Ovis aries: one gene and its partners. The main gene of each other region encodes a partner of the protein of the gene in region 3 in a complex. Links are inferred from orthologs where the notes say so. Each region holds a gene or a part of one and is shown on either strand. Other genes may lie near its edges.

Region 1 (3,975 bases), on a different chromosome or scaffold from region 3:
CAAAAAGGGGACCCAGAGCAAGAAAGGGCAGCACGAGGCAGGGGACGGTAAAGGGGCCACCAGGGGAGCAGGAGGGTACGGGCATGCTGCTCGCTTAGGGCAGCAGGAGGGAAGGTGGGCCCCTCCACCCTCCACCCCCACCACATTTGTCCTTCCCTTCCTCAACATACAAACTCCGTATTCTGGACTCAGGGGCTGGGGGTTCAGAATGGTCTCCCTTATCGCTGGAGAGCAGGAGCCATGAGCCATCATCATCGTCACTGAGGCGGAGAAGAGCAAAGAGAGGAGAGGAGACGTGAGGGTCCTTTATCAAGGCCCTGAGGGCCAAGGGGAGTCCACTACGTTCAGCCTTCTGTGCAGCCCCCAGGAGCAGGAAGGGGAGGACAGAGCGACTTTGGGGCCCGCAAAGCTGGAGTGAAGGAAACTGGATCACTCTGCTGTGCGCCTGAAACTGTCACGCAACACTGTTAATCCACGATACGCCGACATAAAATAAAAAGTTAAAAAAGAAACTGGAGAGAAGGGAAATCTGGGGAGACAGAGGACATCTTAGGGCTTTCATTTTCTAGCCAGATACATGGCAGGCCGTGGACAGGGCCTGCAGCTACAGCCTTACCTTCACCTGCCTGGGAACAAGCAGATGCAGCCAAGACAAGAAACCAAAGAAACTGAAACCGACTGTGGAGAAGCAGAGTCAGGATGCGCAGCGAGCAGGGCAGGCGGGAGCAGCCGTGACCCAGCGAGAAGGCGGTGGGCTCAGCACGGCAGGCTTGTGGGTGGGCGGGGGGGTGACCAGGCCAGGTTAGCAGGTTCCAGAGGTGGCTAAGCTAGGTGACAAGCGCAGTCTGAGGCAATGGGTTCAGAAGGTGACCAGGCTCAGTGGGAATGGAGGCCGGGACTTACCTGCTCTCTGCTTCCTCTGGAGTCCCTAACATTTTGGCCTTGATCTTCTTCCGCTGCTTCTTGACAGCTACCTTCATGGCTCCGAGCAGAAGCCCAGGGACCCGGTGGGCTGTCAGCAGCTCCCTACAGAGGAGGAGGAAGGGCAGAGACAAAGCAGTGGGGATACTAAGAATAGGTCTAGACTCAAGTACCTGTGCATGTTGTTTCCCCTTTTGGGAACACTCTGCCTTGCTAACCCCTCTGCCCCTAAGCTTAGGTGTCACCCCTCCTGGGAGTACTTCCTTGACAGCCGCTGCTGCTGACCCTCAGCACTGGCCCTCCCCGGTATGAAAGAAGATCCAGGAGGGCAGGGACTATGTGACTCCCGTCCTCCAGTGCCCAGCATGGTGCCTGGCACACGACACCATAGATGTATCAACCACTCAAAGAATGAGGCGGGTGAACCGAGGCCAGGGAACAGGTGCGCCTGGCGCCCCCGAGCCTCTGGGCCCTGCCTGGCGCCCTCACCGCTGGAAGTAGGCCAGCTCCTCCTTCAGCAGGAACAAGTTGGCTTTGAGCTCATTCCGCTCCTGAAGGATCTGCTGAACCTCCTCTCGACTGAAGCCGCACTGCCCTGCCTTGGCGGGGAGCCCTGGCGGCAGCGGGGCATCCGCCTGTGGAAGGACAGGCTTGGTCAGTGGCGCCTAGGTTGGACAGGGACGCCTTGGGCAGTGGGCACCTCGGTTGGGCAGGGAGCCTTGGGAGGCCAGGGCGCTACCATGGGTGCCAGGCCGGGGCTCTGGCTGAGTAGGGGAGGAGGCCGGCTGGTGGCGCACACTCGTAACCACCTTCTAGCTAGCCTGTTGGCCCTGCCACGCAGTACGGCAAAACTTTCCCGAGTGCCCACCGAGAGCCGGACCGTTCCCTCATAGGGCACTCACCGGGTCCTCGGGGGTCCCCGGGGCTCTTGTGCCCGCGGTCGCCCGCTCGGACTCCCGCCTCTGCTCGCACTCGGGTCCAGCGGCCTGGCCCTGAACCGGTTCTGGAGGCGGCTCCACGGCCGCTTCGCGCCGCTGCTCTCGTTCGCTCTCGCGGTCCCGCGCAGCGCGTAGCTGGGTTTGTACCGCGGCCAATTTCTGCCGCAACTCCGCATTCACCAGCAGGAGGCGCTGCAGCTGCTCCTGCAACTGTGGGCGGAGCCAAGGGGCTGGTGGGCGGGGCACCTGAGGGCCGGCAGGGTCCCGCCCCCGGCACGTCGCCCCGCCCCGCCCTCACCGCCTCGGTCTCCTGGCTTCGCTGCAGCAGGTCGCGGTTGTACGCCCGGAGTTCGTCCCGCTGGCGGTCGGTCACCTCCTTGAGCTGCCGCAGCAGAGCGCGCTCCTCTGAGGAAGGGGCGTTCTCAGCGGCGGGCCCGCGAGAGGGGGAGCCCTGCGCCGCCCCGACCACGGAGCCCTGCAAGCCCGCACTCACCCTGTGGTCCAGAGCGCAGCTCTCTGCGGAGGCGCTCGTTCTCCTCTCGCAGCCGCCGCAGCTCGAGTTCCGCCTGCTGTGCGGATACCTGCAGCTGGGAAGGCCGCGCTGTTAGGCCAGCCCCCGCTGGCCCAGGCGGGCGGCTGGGGAAGGGCGCCATGACTTACCGAGTCCGGGGCGGGCCCCACGGCAGCCTTTTCCAGGAGCTCCAGCGCCTGCACCACCAGCGGAACGAGTCCGGCTGCGGCCTCCGGCCCGAAGCGGCGCGCCAGCTCCTGCAGCTCAGCGCCCAGGGCCCCCGCTAGGTGGTACACGAGCTCCGCGGCCGTCCCCGATCCCGCGGCCACCCGAGGCCCGGAGCCATGCGCCCCAGGCGCCGCCCTTCTGGGCTCCATGTCCCCCGAAGGCGACCAGGGCTGCGACACCCTCCTCCCCCAACTGAGGCAGGAAAAAGCCAATCAGTCCTGGCCCAGGAAGCGGCTTAGGACAGTAGAGGGCGGGGTAGAAGCGACAAGGGAGGAGCGATTCAGGGAAAAGGCTGTAAGAGTCTCAGGGCCCTGTTAAAGCCCCCAAGGTCACAGGAAGTAGGACATTCCAGCCAGGCGTCCAGGAGCTGAGGCCCAGGGCTGTAAGTGGTCACTTTCGTCAAGCCCTCCCCAGTGTCCACACCAGGCTCCACCCCTGTGTCTAGAGTCATGGGGCCTGACTTGGCTGCCAACTCTCCAGCCCAGAGGTGAGAGGTAGGCGGGCTGTCACTGACCTCAGCCAGCGGCAGCCAACTGTCCAGCCGTGTGCCTATTTCCAGGACAGGCTGAGAGTGACACAAAGCTTAAGGGGCTAAGCTGGGCTCTGCAGCTACAGAGAACAAGCCAGGAGCTTCTACACTCAAAATAGTGACTGCTCCAAGAGATGCTGAAAAGCGGTGAGCGTTTACAAGTATTTGGGGTAAAACTGGCAAATGTGGTCATAGCAGCAGGGGTGTGAAAGCCCAACTTCCCTTCAGCTCACTGAGCTTAGAGGATATTTATCCCCACAGCTCCAAACAGGGGGACTCAAGGCTCAGTCCAGCAGCTTGCAGAGAACATGTCTGGCTTCTGCCATCCCTACATCCAGAATCTGAGCTCAGGGGAAAAAAAGCTTCAAAACCTCCTATTTATACAAAATTTATTATTATACTTTTTCACAATTACAAGTCACCAGGAGGTCAACAACATCACAAGCACAGAAGAGAGAAGAAGGGGCCAAGCTGCTGAATGTCACCAGCTTGTCTGTGGGGCCACAGGCTCTAGCCTTGACCAGAAGGCTGGAGCAAGAGGTGAGGAGACGACTACGCATAGAGGTCCTCTCGGTCCGCAGAGTAGACCTCGCCCTCCTGCAGGAGAGCGAAGTTGAGGAAGTGGGAGGGCCGGTGCACCTCGTGGTAGAACTCTTTGGGATTTGCCAGCTGCAGCTCGTACTTCATGTTGGGATCATGCCGGACACCTTGGAGGAGAAGGAAGAGGCCAACGTTGGCAAGGTCCACCTGCCTCACCCAGCCTGGGTCCCTGGGCCATCTCTAAACCAGAATCTGGGCCCAAGTGCTAAGGGCGGTGGCCTAACCTCATCCCCACTTTCCTGTGCACC
Region 2 (4,057 bases), on a different chromosome or scaffold from region 3:
TGGCCTGTGTATTATTTACATTGGCCTCCTTGGTGGCATAGAGGTAAAGACTCCACTTGCAGCGCTGAAGGCCCAGGTTCCATCCTTGGGTTGGGAAGATCCCCTGCAGAACAAAATGGCAACCCACTCTGGTATTCCCTCCTGAGAAATCCCGTGAACAGAGGACCCCTGCAGGCTATATAGTTCATGCGGTCACAAGAATAAAATATGACTTAGCTGACTAACAAACAACTTTCACACTTTTTAAAAAAATGTGGCCAATATTTTAAAAATTGGAAATTTTACTTAAAAGGCAGATTCCAGTTTTACTAGAAACTCAGAATATTTTCAAACATTCAACCATAGCTGAGACTTTCCTTCTTGGAGGAAGTATGGACAGTCCAGTTCAGTTTCAGCCATTCTCCTACAACTGGCTCACTTCACTCACAGGCATTACCTGCTTGGCCTCTATAGGGACGCCCAAACTCTTCTCATATCCCTTCTCTCCAACATAGTACATACCCATTACTTCTCCTACATTGTCATTCTCTTCTACATTGTCAAAAAATAGCTTTCTAAGCAGGTTTGATCGAATCACTTCTTGATTTGCTCATTGTTCTCAGGATAAAATCCAAACTCAGAATGGCTTCATGATCTTGTCTGCCTGCTCACGCACACCATTCTGTCCCTCACCTCTTCCCAGCTCTGATTACTACTCAGAATCAGCTGTTTCCAAACCAAATTCCTCATGTCTGTGCTTCCTCTTTACCTTCTCTTCCTTTCTCTAGGTTGTCATACTCATCCTAAAAAATTGCTCTGACATCAGTCCTCCAGGAAATCTTTCCGTAAAGCCTTTCCCTTCTGCTCTTCCTTTGTGACACCAAAGCAACCTGAGCTCTTCTGAGTTTGTGAGTTCTATATTAAAATTGTTGACGACCCCAAACACCACCAACAGATGTTAAACCTGGGTAGGCTGAAGTGAGGTTAACCGTTCTTGGATTAAGACCAGCGTTATTTTCGAGTCTAGACCTCTGACTGAGTTTGGCCCCAAGGGTGAAGTGTGACAGGCGTGTGTAAGGGTCCACTCCAGTAGGAACTCTGGATACTACCGCAGCTTTACGTTTCAGGTCCGTACTGCCCGTGAGGCGCACTAGGGAAAGCTACGAGCCAGGGTCTGAAGTCTGCGGCGAGCGCAGCTTCGGATTGGATAAGGCGGTGCATGCCGGTAGCGGCTAGGCCTTCGAAGTGCTTGCTGGGAATTGTAGTTCTCAGAGCCGGAAGTAGGGGGGAGTGGAAGGGATAGAAACCGCGGCTGAGGCAGCAATCAATGCTGCTGCCGTCACCCGGCCGTAGTGCATCACTCTGAGCCCACCTGCCGTGGGTGCCTCCTAGATTCCCGAGGGGCTCTGGGAGCCCTGAGGGGCGAAGCGACAGGGACGCCTCTCTTAAGAGGCGACGTCGCAGCCCCGGATGCGGCCAGAGGGCGCGGGAATGGAGCTTGGCGGCTGCGAGGAGGGCTTGCCGGAGGAGAGCAGGTGAGCTGGGGGAAGTCGCGCGCGGATGGATGCGCTGAAGCCGGGAAGGCTCCCAGAGCACGAGGAGACGGACAGGAGGACTGCTGTTGTGGGCGACTTGTTTGGGAAGAAATTCTGAAACGAGAGACGGGGAGGTTAGATCGGGCGGACGAGGGAACGGGCTTAGGGAGAGAGAAGGAGGGAGGATAGGCTATGTTGAGGGCGGGGGGCGGTGGAGGGCGTGCAGCAGTGGGTAAAATTCAGACCGAGGGCTGCTTCTGGGGAGGAGGTGGACATTGAGAGGTGCTGTGGTGAGATTTCATAGGCCAGAGTCTATAGATAGCAGTAGGGGACAGGGTGGGTGCCCCGGCCGAAACTTGCGGTGACAGCGGTTCAGGCCAGTGTTAAGAAGGTTGAAGTAAGAATTTCTGGGAGCAAAGGTTAGGCATTGTGAGTGGCCTAGACAGAAGCTTACGCAAAATGAGTGTGAGGAGGAAGGCGTGAAGGAGGGCCTGTGGGTGAAAGTGGGCGATTGTAAAGGCAGTGGAATGGGAGTGAGGGCTTGCTAATGAGACTAGCGATTGCGTTCGTGCCCTTTGTCAATGCTGGATCCCTGTCAGACAGTGACAGGACCTCCCTGTATTTAAACCCGGCACTCCTTACCCACATTGCAGCTGAGCGATTTCCCATTTATTTATATGAAACTGCTATCAAGTTCTTACCTTCTAGAAATTACAAAAGCTGAATGTTGGCTTGGACTCCAGCTGTACTTCTGTGTAGGTGTTGCTTCATTAATAACTCTGGTCTTAACCTCTTAAGAATCTGGAATGGACAGGATAGAGCAGGAATGTGGCTTAAGGAAGTCCTTCTTGACTTTTAAAAACATTCAGATGTGGTTAGAGTCTCCGGAGCAGCTAGAATCCAAAGACTGAAATATTTATCTCTGAAAAAATATCAACAGGGGAAAATTAATGAGATTTTGTACATAGGTGAAGACCTGGCTAGTTTAAAGAGTGACTCCTCTTTTACCTGCCTGTGGCCTGCTGTACAAAACCTAGGATGACAGGACTTGGGGTTACTGCATGAGATCTGTAAATGATGTGTTCAGTGAAACTGAAGAGCCTACTTCCCTTTTCCATGTTTCAGTTTCTGCTTATGTATATTTGGCTCTTTATTCTTCCTCCAGATGCTTCTTGTAAAAAGTCTTATATACTTTCTAAACAAATTTTAGGATTATTTTTATTTTCCTCTACCAGTTCATGTAGGAGAGGCTAGGTTGGAAATTCAGATTTCCTCCCAGCTGAGTTATTTATTTATTTAATGTATTTAACAAATACTTATTTACTACATGCCAGGCATTGCTTAAGAGCCTTACAAGTGTTATTAAATCCTCATAACAGCTGGATGAGATAGGTACTATATTATTACCATTTGACAGGTGAGGCAGCTAAGACCTAGACAGGATAAATAATTTGCCAAGGTCATACAGTAAATCCTTGGTGGGACTGGGATTCAGGCAGGCTCTACTTCTGGTATCTATGCTATACTACCTCTCACTGTTCTAATCTGCTGGGACAAAGAAATGTATAAGGTAATAAATTTTGTAGCATTCTTTGCCTGTCATTAACGTTACTAAGGCTTCTCCTTTGCAGGTATCTTTTTCTGTTATTCTTTCCATGCTTGCTTCTTTACCAATGAACTTTAGTCAAAACTTAATTTCAGCATTGGGATTATCCTCATGAAATCACTCTTAATGTTAACATAGCCTACTCTCTGTTGGTGATTAGTGAACTTAGAATAATTTATTTAATGGGACTTCGTGGCACCGATGGCCTCTTTAGTTCTGGGTAGTCAAATGGTAAATGAAATACATGACTTGTGCCTGAGAATTGAGGCACTGTGGCTGGATCACTGCAAACTTAACCTTTCTTTGGCCAATAAAACACCCAATTCAGAAGACATCTTCTTGATGAGATGGCATCATTTTTTAAAATATATGAAAGATAAAATTATATTCTGAAACCAGTTGATGGAGTGAAATGTGCATAAGTTTATAGCCAGGTAGAGCTGCATTTGAATTCTAGCTCTACTGCTTAACTTGACTTATCCAGCCTGAATGGGAAGAATGATGCCTTCCTGACTGGTGAGGATTCAGTAAGATAATGTGAAAAAAGCTCCTCAGAGAGTGCTGATATGTACTGAAGGCAGAAAATGTCTACTTCCTTCCCCTCCCCAGTTTTCTTGAAATAAGATGAGCATGTGTTCTTCCAGTTGCTGTTTGCAATGATATTATTGCTTGTGCTTCCTCCTTCCATGGTTTCTCTATCCAAATTGAACAAACTGGGGACTGGGGTGTTGGCCCAGAATTTTTTTTTTTTTTTTTTTAATTTGACTGCATCCAGTCTTAGTTGGGGCAAATGGGATCTTTCATTGTGATGCACAGACTCTCTAGTTGTGGCACCTGGGCTCAGTAGTTGCAGGGCACAAGCTTAGTTGCTTGGTGGCATGTGGAACCTTAGTTCCCCAACCAGGAGTAGAACTCAAGTCCGCTGCGTTGCAAGGCA
Region 3 (3,509 bases):
GGGTGTGAGCCTGTGATGGAGCGCAGGGCACCAGCCTTCCCACGTGGTGGCCTTCACAGGAGGGGGTGGGTAAAAAGACCACAAGACGGTTAAAAAAATCAGAACTAATTAGACACAGATTAACTGTAAACAGTTCTCTCTCCAGTGGATGAAAGGAAGAAGCTTCCAGCGCAGACTCCACCCAGGCGGGTGTGCGCCTCCGGCCTTGCTGCTGCCGCGGAGCCCGCGGGGCGGGCGGTGGGTCTGTGGGGCGTGTGCGGGGGTCGGCGGTGTGCTGGGCTCTCCGGGCAGCTGGGCGAGAGATGACTGTCTGTGGGAGGAGGGGCTCGTGGAGGAAGGCCTGCACCTGTGTTCTCGGTCGCGGAGGGCTGTGTGCTCTGCTCTCTGCCTCTTCAGCAGCTGCAGCTCTCGGCCGAGGCCTTGGGGCGGTCGTTCTTGTCCAGTTTGATGGGCTCGGGGAACTCGTTGTACAGCTCCACTTCCGTTTCCTGGGCAGGGAGAGAGGCGGTGACCGCGGGCCCGGGGTGGCTGCAAGTCCTGCGGTGTAGGGGGGCGGGCCCCACAGCGGAGGGGCCAGGCGGGCACCGAGGGACGCTGCGGGGCAGGGGCAAGAGGGACAGGCTGGCGCCCTCCACCTGCACGTGCCCGCTCTGGGAGCTTCTGCCAGTGCCTGACAAGGACAGGGTCTGGGGCCCCAGCCTCACAGACCCCGCGAGCTCGCCCTGCGCGCCCCTCTCTGGACCCAGGTCTGTTGTCTCTTCCAGGCCTTCAGGAGAGCTTGCCCCCAAGGCTGCACATGCCAGGCCCGCCCAGGACAACTCCCTCAGTGTGGGGCCCACAGGACAGGGCCTGGGGTCACTTCACGGGGACTTGGGCTGAATTAGCGTTTCCAGCGAGGGGCAGCTCCCTGCTTCCTAGGGAAGAGAATTCACCTGTGCCTTAGACGCGGAGCACCCGCGGGTCGAGGCCCTCTGGGGAAACCACTCCGGTCACAAGTGCTGTGCAAGCGGCCACGCCCAGGACTGCCTGTAGTTTAAGGCGGTCTCGCTCCCTGAGGGCTGAGCGTGTGCCCCTGCAGCCTGGTCTGCTCACAGGCCCAAGCCATCAGGCCCTTCCCGGCCCCGGAGGCGAGCCGGCTCCAGCAGCAGCGGCCTGTCCCGCCTATTGCTCCAAGCCCTGACCAGCGCTCATCTGCGTTCTGTCTTAATGGAGGCCTCAGCGAGATCGGACCTGTGGCCCCGAAACCGACAGGAAATAAGTGTGTCCTTGAGCCACGCGGCCTGTGGGCACTGTCCAGGGCCCGGTGCTGGCTGACACAGTTAGAACCTCAGGAAGGTTTATTTTTTGTGGGGGTAGGTGGTGGGGAGAGGACGGAGGAGGAAAAAGTTGCACCTGGAGTGAAAGTCTTAGTTCAAATGGATAATGAACCAAACAGAGCCAAGAGAAAAGCCTCGACTAGCGAGGGGAGAGGCCGTGAGGTCAGGACGGCCGTGCAGGGAGCACGTGGGCTGCAGGCGGGGCCCGGCGCAAGGAGAGCGCGACACGGGGGAGCGGGCTCCACAGACGGAATACACACCCACCGGCAGGTTCTTCACTGTGGCCAGAGAGGCTGAGAAGAAGGCCCACCACACACAGCTCAGCCCCACCTCTGCGCACGGCCGAGGCCCGGGCAAGGGCTGCAGGGGCCCCTCTGCAGAGCATGGGCGCTGCGCCAGCGACGCCACCGCGGTGCCGGGACTGAGGGTCACCACTGTCCCCAGGGACAGCCAGGGGCCCCCTTACCAGTCGGACAGTCTTCCTCCTGCGACTCGAGCTCTAGGGGCAGGAGTGTTTAGGGAGGAAAGCACTGCCCTGCTGCTGTGGGGTCAGAGGAGCCCTCACCCGGCACCGGCCAACAGGATGCCGCTGGTATGTGGTGGGGAGGGGGACCATCTGAATAAACACCACAAAGAAAACGCAGGAGAACCTTACCTAAGGAAGATGACTCCTAGAACCTTTTGGGTTAACCTTTATGAGGATTGTTTAGGATAATTCCCAAAGTTGGTGCACCTCACTGAATCTTCACAAACGCCCTGAAAGCGGGCAATCTCATTGTACAGCTCAGACAGGATTTAAAAACCAGACTAGATCCCAAGACGGGCAGCAGAGCTGTGCCTCAAACTCAAGTGTATCTTGAAACAGGAGGAGCACGCCGAGCAGGGCGGCCCCACACGAGGTGGCCTCGATGTGTGCCCCCATGGAGCTGACTTACAGACGGCGGGACGGGGCCGCTCTCAAAGGCCCGCCACCACCTCTGGCTGCACAGGAAGCCCGTGGGGAGAGAAGGTGCGGGCCAAGGCGGCCAGGCCAGGGCTCCGTCCCCGGACACCCACCTGCTTGAGCGCGTTCCGGGCGATCGTCTGGAAGGCCTGCTCCACGTTGATGGCCTCCTTGGCGCTGGTCTCAAAGTAGGGGATGTTGTTTTTGCTGTAGCACCAGGCCTGAGCCCGCTTGGTGGCCACCTGAAGGGGAGGCAGGGTGCAGGTGCCAGGAAGAGCAGGCATCCCAGCGGAAGAACCCCCAGGACCCCCGCCGGCCACCGCCCACCAGCCCCTCGCCAGCTAAGCTCAGTACAGTGGGGCTTTCCCCTCTCAGCCTCCGACCCCGAGCTGCACCTGGAGGCAGCTTGTGAAGGGCGGCGGCAGCCAGCTCGGGAGGAAGTGCCTCCCCTCCGGCCCAGGACAGGTCTCCAGCCCCTCCTGTGACCGCTCAGCACACCTGCCTGGACCCCTGGCCTGATCACACACCCAGGCCCCAGAGCCCCCAACCCAGCCACATCCTGTTTCCTGACTCCCCACCCGAGCCTGTTTTCAGGAACAAGAGAAGAACCAATTCACTTAGGAAAGAGCTGACTGGTCAAAAATAAACTCAGCTATGAGTGAGTGAATGAAGTCTGGTCAGTTGTGTCTGACTCTGCAATCCCATAGGCTGTAGCCTACCAGGCTCCTCCGTCCATGGGATTTTCCAGGCAAGAGTACTGGAGTGGGCTGCCATTTCCTTCTCCAGAGGACCTTCCCGACCCAGGGATTGAACCCGGGTCTCCCGCATTGTAAGCAGACGCTTTACCGTCTGAGCCACCAGGAAAACTCGGCTATGCTTGACGACATCTCTGTCTACACCGACATCTCTGTCTACACTCCCCAGAGATGCTACTGGAAAGGAAGCCAGAGCAGTTTTACTCAAAAGCCCAAAGCACCTCCCGCCCCGCGGGATCTGGGGGGGCCCCGCTGCGGGAGGACGACAGCTGATGGCAACCGAACCCTCCCCCAGGGTCAGAAGCAGAGGCGCCCACAAGCCCGAGTCACGGCTGTGCGGGTGGTGTGGGGGTCTCAGAGGGCCTCCTGGGCCCCAGTCCCCAGGGGCAGCCGGCCTGAAGATGGCGCCCCTGTGCACCCCCAGAGCCACGAGGTGCTCAGCACAGACCCTCCGTGTGCACAGGGTACCTCAGAACAGGCGGCCCAGGCGAGAGA
Region 4 (4,000 bases), on a different chromosome or scaffold from region 3:
TTGTGTTGTCCCTGTGGTTGGAGCACAAAAGCATTTATGATGTAACCAGAGGGCAGGGGGAGTAACATTGTTGCTGGGCAACCTGGCTTCATTAACTCTATGGCTTTCCTCAAGGGGCTACCCTGTGCAAAATTTCCTAAAGTCTTTCCTCACCTCCCCCTCCCTCTTTCCCAACTCCCCCTTCCTGTGCCCCAGAGAACCAATCAGCCCCCTTCCAACTCTAGCCATCTTGTTGTCCTAGTGCAGAGTGGTGACCGAGGACTTAGGGTTTAGTTTTAGACAAACCAGGCTCCATTGTGTAACCCAGCAACTTCCTTTGCCTCTGTGCCAGCGTCTGCATTTGTAAAACGGATGCTGGCTAACTAAAACTGATGGCTAACTAAAACTGTCTCTTAAATGGACTAAATGTGGCAATACACTCAGGGGCTTAACGCACTCCAAGAGCTTGACGGTGACTATTCATCTTCCAATCATCTAGCAAGTTCATCTCACTCCTCATTCATTCCTTGTAGCGGTTCTTTTCTGTCCTTCTGGTTTAAATCTCAAATATCTATCTAGGTTAGTTCGCATCTGAAGCTTTTTTTTTTGGTTTGTCCCTCCTTCCCAGGGCCCACCCTCTGCGGACGCAGAGCGTGTTGGTCAGGCTGATGGTCGGTTACGGCAGTCTCCGAGGCAATGCAATCTTGTCCTCGGCTTGGAAAGTCTCCGAACCGCTAGCTCAGATCTTCTGCGGCGCGGCCCTGCATGGAAAGCCGCCAGCCCATTCTCAGGGGCGCGAGTGGAAGAATCACACTGCAGCAGAGGTAACAGACAGGGATCGAGGCCAATGAAGGGGGATGGGCGCATTAGAAGATAACGGGATGACCGGGATCAAGAACACGCCGCCACGCCCTCTCCGCCCGGCCTCTTCTCCTCCAGCCGGTGGCCCCAGTTATCCCCCTAGATCCGGACAGCGGCTTCCGAAGTGACAGCCACGTGGACTGCGGGGGACTAGAATGTTGCCGTGGGGGGCGGGGCTGGAAGGGCGCCTGAGAGGTGAAGAAGGACCCGCGTACGCATGCTCGGGCGCCGGCTGCCAGGCGACGCCGCCGGGAGCGAGTACGCTCCTGACGTCAGGCGCCGCTCGTCCAATGAGCGGCGGTCGGAGGGAGGCGCCGTTCCGCCCCCTCCCGCCTCCGCCGCCGCCTCCGCCGCCACCACGGCAGCCGCCTCCGGGAGTGTCTGAGGGGGCGCGGGGCCGCCGCAGGCTCGGGCGCCGCATCGCGCGGTCCGGAGCCGCCGGACGAGGCCCAGCGTGCCGCTTGCTCCGACCCCCGCCGCCCGATGTCCTCAAGATGGAGGCAGCGGGGAGGGCGGCGTGAAGAAAGCGGCGCTGTGGGCGCTGGGGCAAGGGCCCGGGCGTCCCGGGCGGAGGCGGCGGCGGCGGCGGCGGCGGGATGGGGCTGCTTCTCATGATCCTGGCGTCGGCCGTGCTGGGCTCCTTCCTCACGCTGCTCACCCAGTTCCTGCTGCTCTACCGCAAACAGCCCGAGCCGCCGCCGGACGAGGCCGCCCGCGCGGCCGACGGCTTCCGCTACATCAAGCCGGTGCCGGGCCTGCCCCTGAGAGAGTACCTTTATGGCGGCGGCGGCGGCGGGGCTGAGGAGCCCTCTGGCGGGCCCCCCGAGGGCGGCGCGACCCCTGCCCCCGAGACCCCCGTCCCGCCGACGCGGGAGACCTGCTACTTCCTCAACGCCATCATCCTGTTCTTGTTCCGGGAGCTGCGGGACACCGCACTGGCCCGCCGCTGGGTCACCAAGAAGATCAAGGTGGAGTTCGAGGAGCTGCTGCAGACCAAGACGGCTGGGCGCCTGCTGGAGGGACTGAGCCTGCGGGAGGTGTTCCTGGGCGAGACCGTGCCCTTCATCAAGACCATCCGGCTCCTCCGGCCCGTGGCGCCCTCGGCCACCGGGGAGCCCGACGGCCCCGAGGGGGAGGCGCTGCCCCCCGCCACCACCCCCGAGGAGCTGGCCTTCGAAGCGGAGGTGGAGTACAACGGGGGCTTCCACCTGGCCATCGACGTGGACTTGGTCTTCGGCAAGTCCGCTTACCTGTTCGTCAAGCTCTCACGGGTGGTGGGGAGGCTGCGCTTCGTCCTCACCCGCGTGCCCTTCACCCACTGGTTCTTCTCCTTCGTGGAGGACCCGCTGATCGACTTCGAGGTGCGCTCCCAGTTCGAAGGGCGGCCCCTGCCCCAGCTCACCTCCTTCATCGTCAACCAGCTCAAGAAGATCATCAAGCGCAAGCACACCCTTCCGAGTTACAAGATCAGGTGAGAGGAAGGTTGCGGGGGAAGGTCGCCCGGGCGCTAGGGCCCCCTGGCTGCTGGGACCCTGAGCCTGGCAGGGCACTGCCTCCGTCGTTGGGTGGGAAGGGCAAAGACTTATACAGCCCCTGCTTTCCAGGGCTCTTCCCCACCCTGGACGGGGCCCTCGATTAAGTGCCCACATTCTTTGCTTCCGAAGGGCATTAATAAGGAGCTGGAAGCCTTTCCGTGTGCTCTTGGTCATCCACGGTGCTGTCAGCGCGGGTCGAAGCAGCATATTGAAAATGGAAGGGAAGTCCCTCCTTCCCCGGACGGCTCTGGGACTGTTGAGAAACTATTTCTCTAGGTGGTTGCTGCATTGAGGGCAGCCTTGCAGCATCGCCTCGGCCACACTGAGAAATTGTTCGCGGATACCAAGTACAGGCATGAGGAGTGTGCTGGGAGCCCAGAGCTGTTGTATTTTGCAACCGCAGGCCAGTTTTGCCGTGGGTGCTTTGGCAACTTTCAAGGCAGAGGCAGCATCTATCGGAAAGGAATACTTTTCCACTGCAAATTGAAAACGAGTTGGGAGCCTATACATCTTGTACTTCTCTGTACCTTTTGTGTTAATGTCGTCTAGGGTAAATTCTGTAGCACAACCCCAGGCTGCCCCGTGACCTTTCAACTCTACTTGGCTGTAGGCTCCTCCCACAGTACCTGAAATTGCCCAACAGGTAGTATTTTAAGATGGGTAGTGATTTTAACTTTGTAAAACCTACCTATATTTGGCGGCTTGATTTTTGTGTAGTATACTATTTTGATTAATGTACAAGGGTTTGGGTTTTTATTTATTTTTAATATCGTAAAAGTGGAAGGGGAAAATAAGTTTTGTGGGGCTAGAGTCGGTGTTGAAGGGTCATATGTGGTCATTCTAAAACAGATAAATTTTTAATTTTACTTTAAGTGTTTAACCCTTTTGGATTTTGTTCTTTACCATAAAATTATGTCAGTCTGGTATTTGGCTTACCTAGTTCCCTTTAGTGGAAGTTACATGTTTCTAGATCACTAACTTGCTACCACAGTTTAAAACATCAATGACCCAGGTAATTCAGGAATGTTTTATGTTTGGGACAGAGTATTGACTTGTGTTATGTGGCAGGTTTACCTTAGTAATTGTGTTTGTTTAGGCTAATAGCACAGTGACAGCTTAAAACAGTCAGGTGGCAGAAATTTATAATGGAAAAGTTCCATAGATTTGCAGAAGATGGTGAACTGATCACTGTCTTGATTTCCTGTTCTGTGAAGTAGAACATATTTTATGAAGCCTGCTCTTTCAGCTCTGGAATATGTGACTAAATTCTCAATGAATTGCAGTGTTTAAGCAGTGAGGTGTTTATAGCAGTGTGTGGCTGAGAAAGTCATGAGAGAAAGTTGTTACAGATTTTGATATGTTTTCACAACTTCAGTTCTAATATTTTCTAAGTGGCTTTAAGATGCCAAAGACTTGACTAAGCTGTTACTAATATTTGGGGGTTATTTGCAGGATAGCCAGTGGTAACGGAGAAGGCAATGGCGCCCCACTCCAGTACTCTTGCCTGAAAACCCCATGGATGGAGGAGCCTGGTAGGCTGCAGTCCATGGGGCAGCTGAGCGACTTCACTTTCACGAATTGGAAAAGGAAATGGCAACCCACTCCAGTGTTCTTGCCTGGAGAAT

What was found. The genes of interacting proteins can lie anywhere in the genome.
Region 1: the proteins of RAB7A (region 3) and RILP are in contact, whole or in part, in a crystal structure (PDB 1YHN), measured with the Homo sapiens proteins. The link is inferred for Ovis aries from reciprocal best matches to the Homo sapiens genes RAB7A and RILP. Residues at the interface, in NP_004628.4 of Homo sapiens: Ser3, Lys6, Leu8, Ile41, Gly42, Ala43, Asp44, Phe45, Leu46, Thr47, Thr58, Trp62, Ser72, Leu73, Val75, Leu182, Tyr183, Asn184, Glu185; in NP_113618.2 of Homo sapiens: Phe248, Glu249, Leu252, Gln253, Arg255, Asn256, Lys259, Ala260, Phe263, Leu264, Glu267, Glu268, Tyr271, Arg274, Glu275.
Region 2: the proteins of RAB7A (region 3) and RUBCN are in contact, whole or in part, in a crystal structure (PDB 6WCW), measured with the Homo sapiens proteins. The link is inferred for Ovis aries from reciprocal best matches to the Homo sapiens genes RAB7A and RUBCN. Residues at the interface, in NP_004628.4 of Homo sapiens: Ile41, Gly42, Ala43, Asp44, Trp62, Gln71, Ser72, Leu73, Gly74, Val75, Ala76, Phe77, Arg79, Ser101, Asp104, Glu105, Ile108, Gln109, Ser111; in NP_055502.1 of Homo sapiens: His818, Asn821, Met822, Lys824, Thr825, Arg827, Leu883, Gln885, Ala886, Lys887, Gly888, Phe889, Ile890, Glu892, Gln895, Glu897, Ile900, Pro903, Cys915, Lys916, Arg931, Arg934, Arg938.
Region 4: the proteins of RAB7A (region 3) and PDZD8 are in contact, whole or in part, in a crystal structure (PDB 7F6J), measured with the Homo sapiens proteins. The link is inferred for Ovis aries from reciprocal best matches to the Homo sapiens genes RAB7A and PDZD8. Residues at the interface, in NP_004628.4 of Homo sapiens: Lys10, Leu14, Asp16, Ser17, Lys38, Ile41, Gly42, Ala43, Asp44, Phe45, Gln60, Trp62, Gly66, Glu68, Arg69, Phe70, Gln71, Ser72, Leu73, Gly74, Val75, Ala76, Phe77, Tyr78, Arg79, Thr98, Ser101, Trp102, Glu105, Phe106; in NP_776152.1 of Homo sapiens: Ile999, Lys1000, Leu1001, Val1002, Arg1003, Lys1004, Glu1005, Gly1007, Leu1008, Asp1009, Asp1010, Phe1013, Ile1014, Lys1017, Gln1044, Leu1051, Asn1054, Asn1055, Val1058, Leu1077, Leu1084, Gln1085, Thr1088, Ile1092.

What each region holds. Positions count from the first base shown.
Region 1 is NC_056064.1:22,644,617-22,648,591, forward strand, and holds the start of RILP (rab-interacting lysosomal protein), read right to left. Parts: upstream 2,809-3,975; 5' UTR 2,748-2,808; coding exon 2,520-2,747; intron 2,447-2,519; coding exon 2,353-2,446; intron 2,265-2,352; coding exon 2,158-2,264; intron 2,070-2,157; coding exon 1,824-2,069; intron 1,557-1,823; coding exon 1,411-1,556; intron 1,027-1,410; coding exon 904-1,026; intron 261-903; coding exon 171-260; intron 1-170. Other genes in the region: PRPF8 (pre-mRNA-processing-splicing factor 8), read right to left, coding at 3,680-3,834. UniProt on the Homo sapiens protein: Rab effector playing a role in late endocytic transport to degradative compartments. Involved in the regulation of lysosomal morphology and distribution.
Region 2 is NC_056054.1:191,231,360-191,235,416, forward strand, and holds the start of RUBCN (run domain Beclin-1-interacting and cysteine-rich domain-containing protein), read left to right. Parts: upstream 1-1,249; 5' UTR 1,250-1,449; coding exon 1,450-1,514; intron 1,515-4,057.
Region 3 is NC_056072.1:59,079,765-59,083,273, forward strand, and holds the end of RAB7A (ras-related protein Rab-7a), read right to left. Parts: intron 2,502-3,509; coding exon 2,373-2,501; intron 489-2,372; coding exon 393-488; downstream 1-392.
Region 4 is NC_056075.1:37,219,589-37,223,588, reverse strand, and holds the start of PDZD8 (PDZ domain-containing protein 8), read left to right. Parts: upstream 1-1,192; 5' UTR 1,193-1,436; coding exon 1,437-2,311; intron 2,312-4,000. UniProt on the Homo sapiens protein: Molecular tethering protein that connects endoplasmic reticulum and mitochondria membranes. PDZD8-dependent endoplasmic reticulum-mitochondria membrane tethering is essential for endoplasmic reticulum-mitochondria Ca(2+) transfer.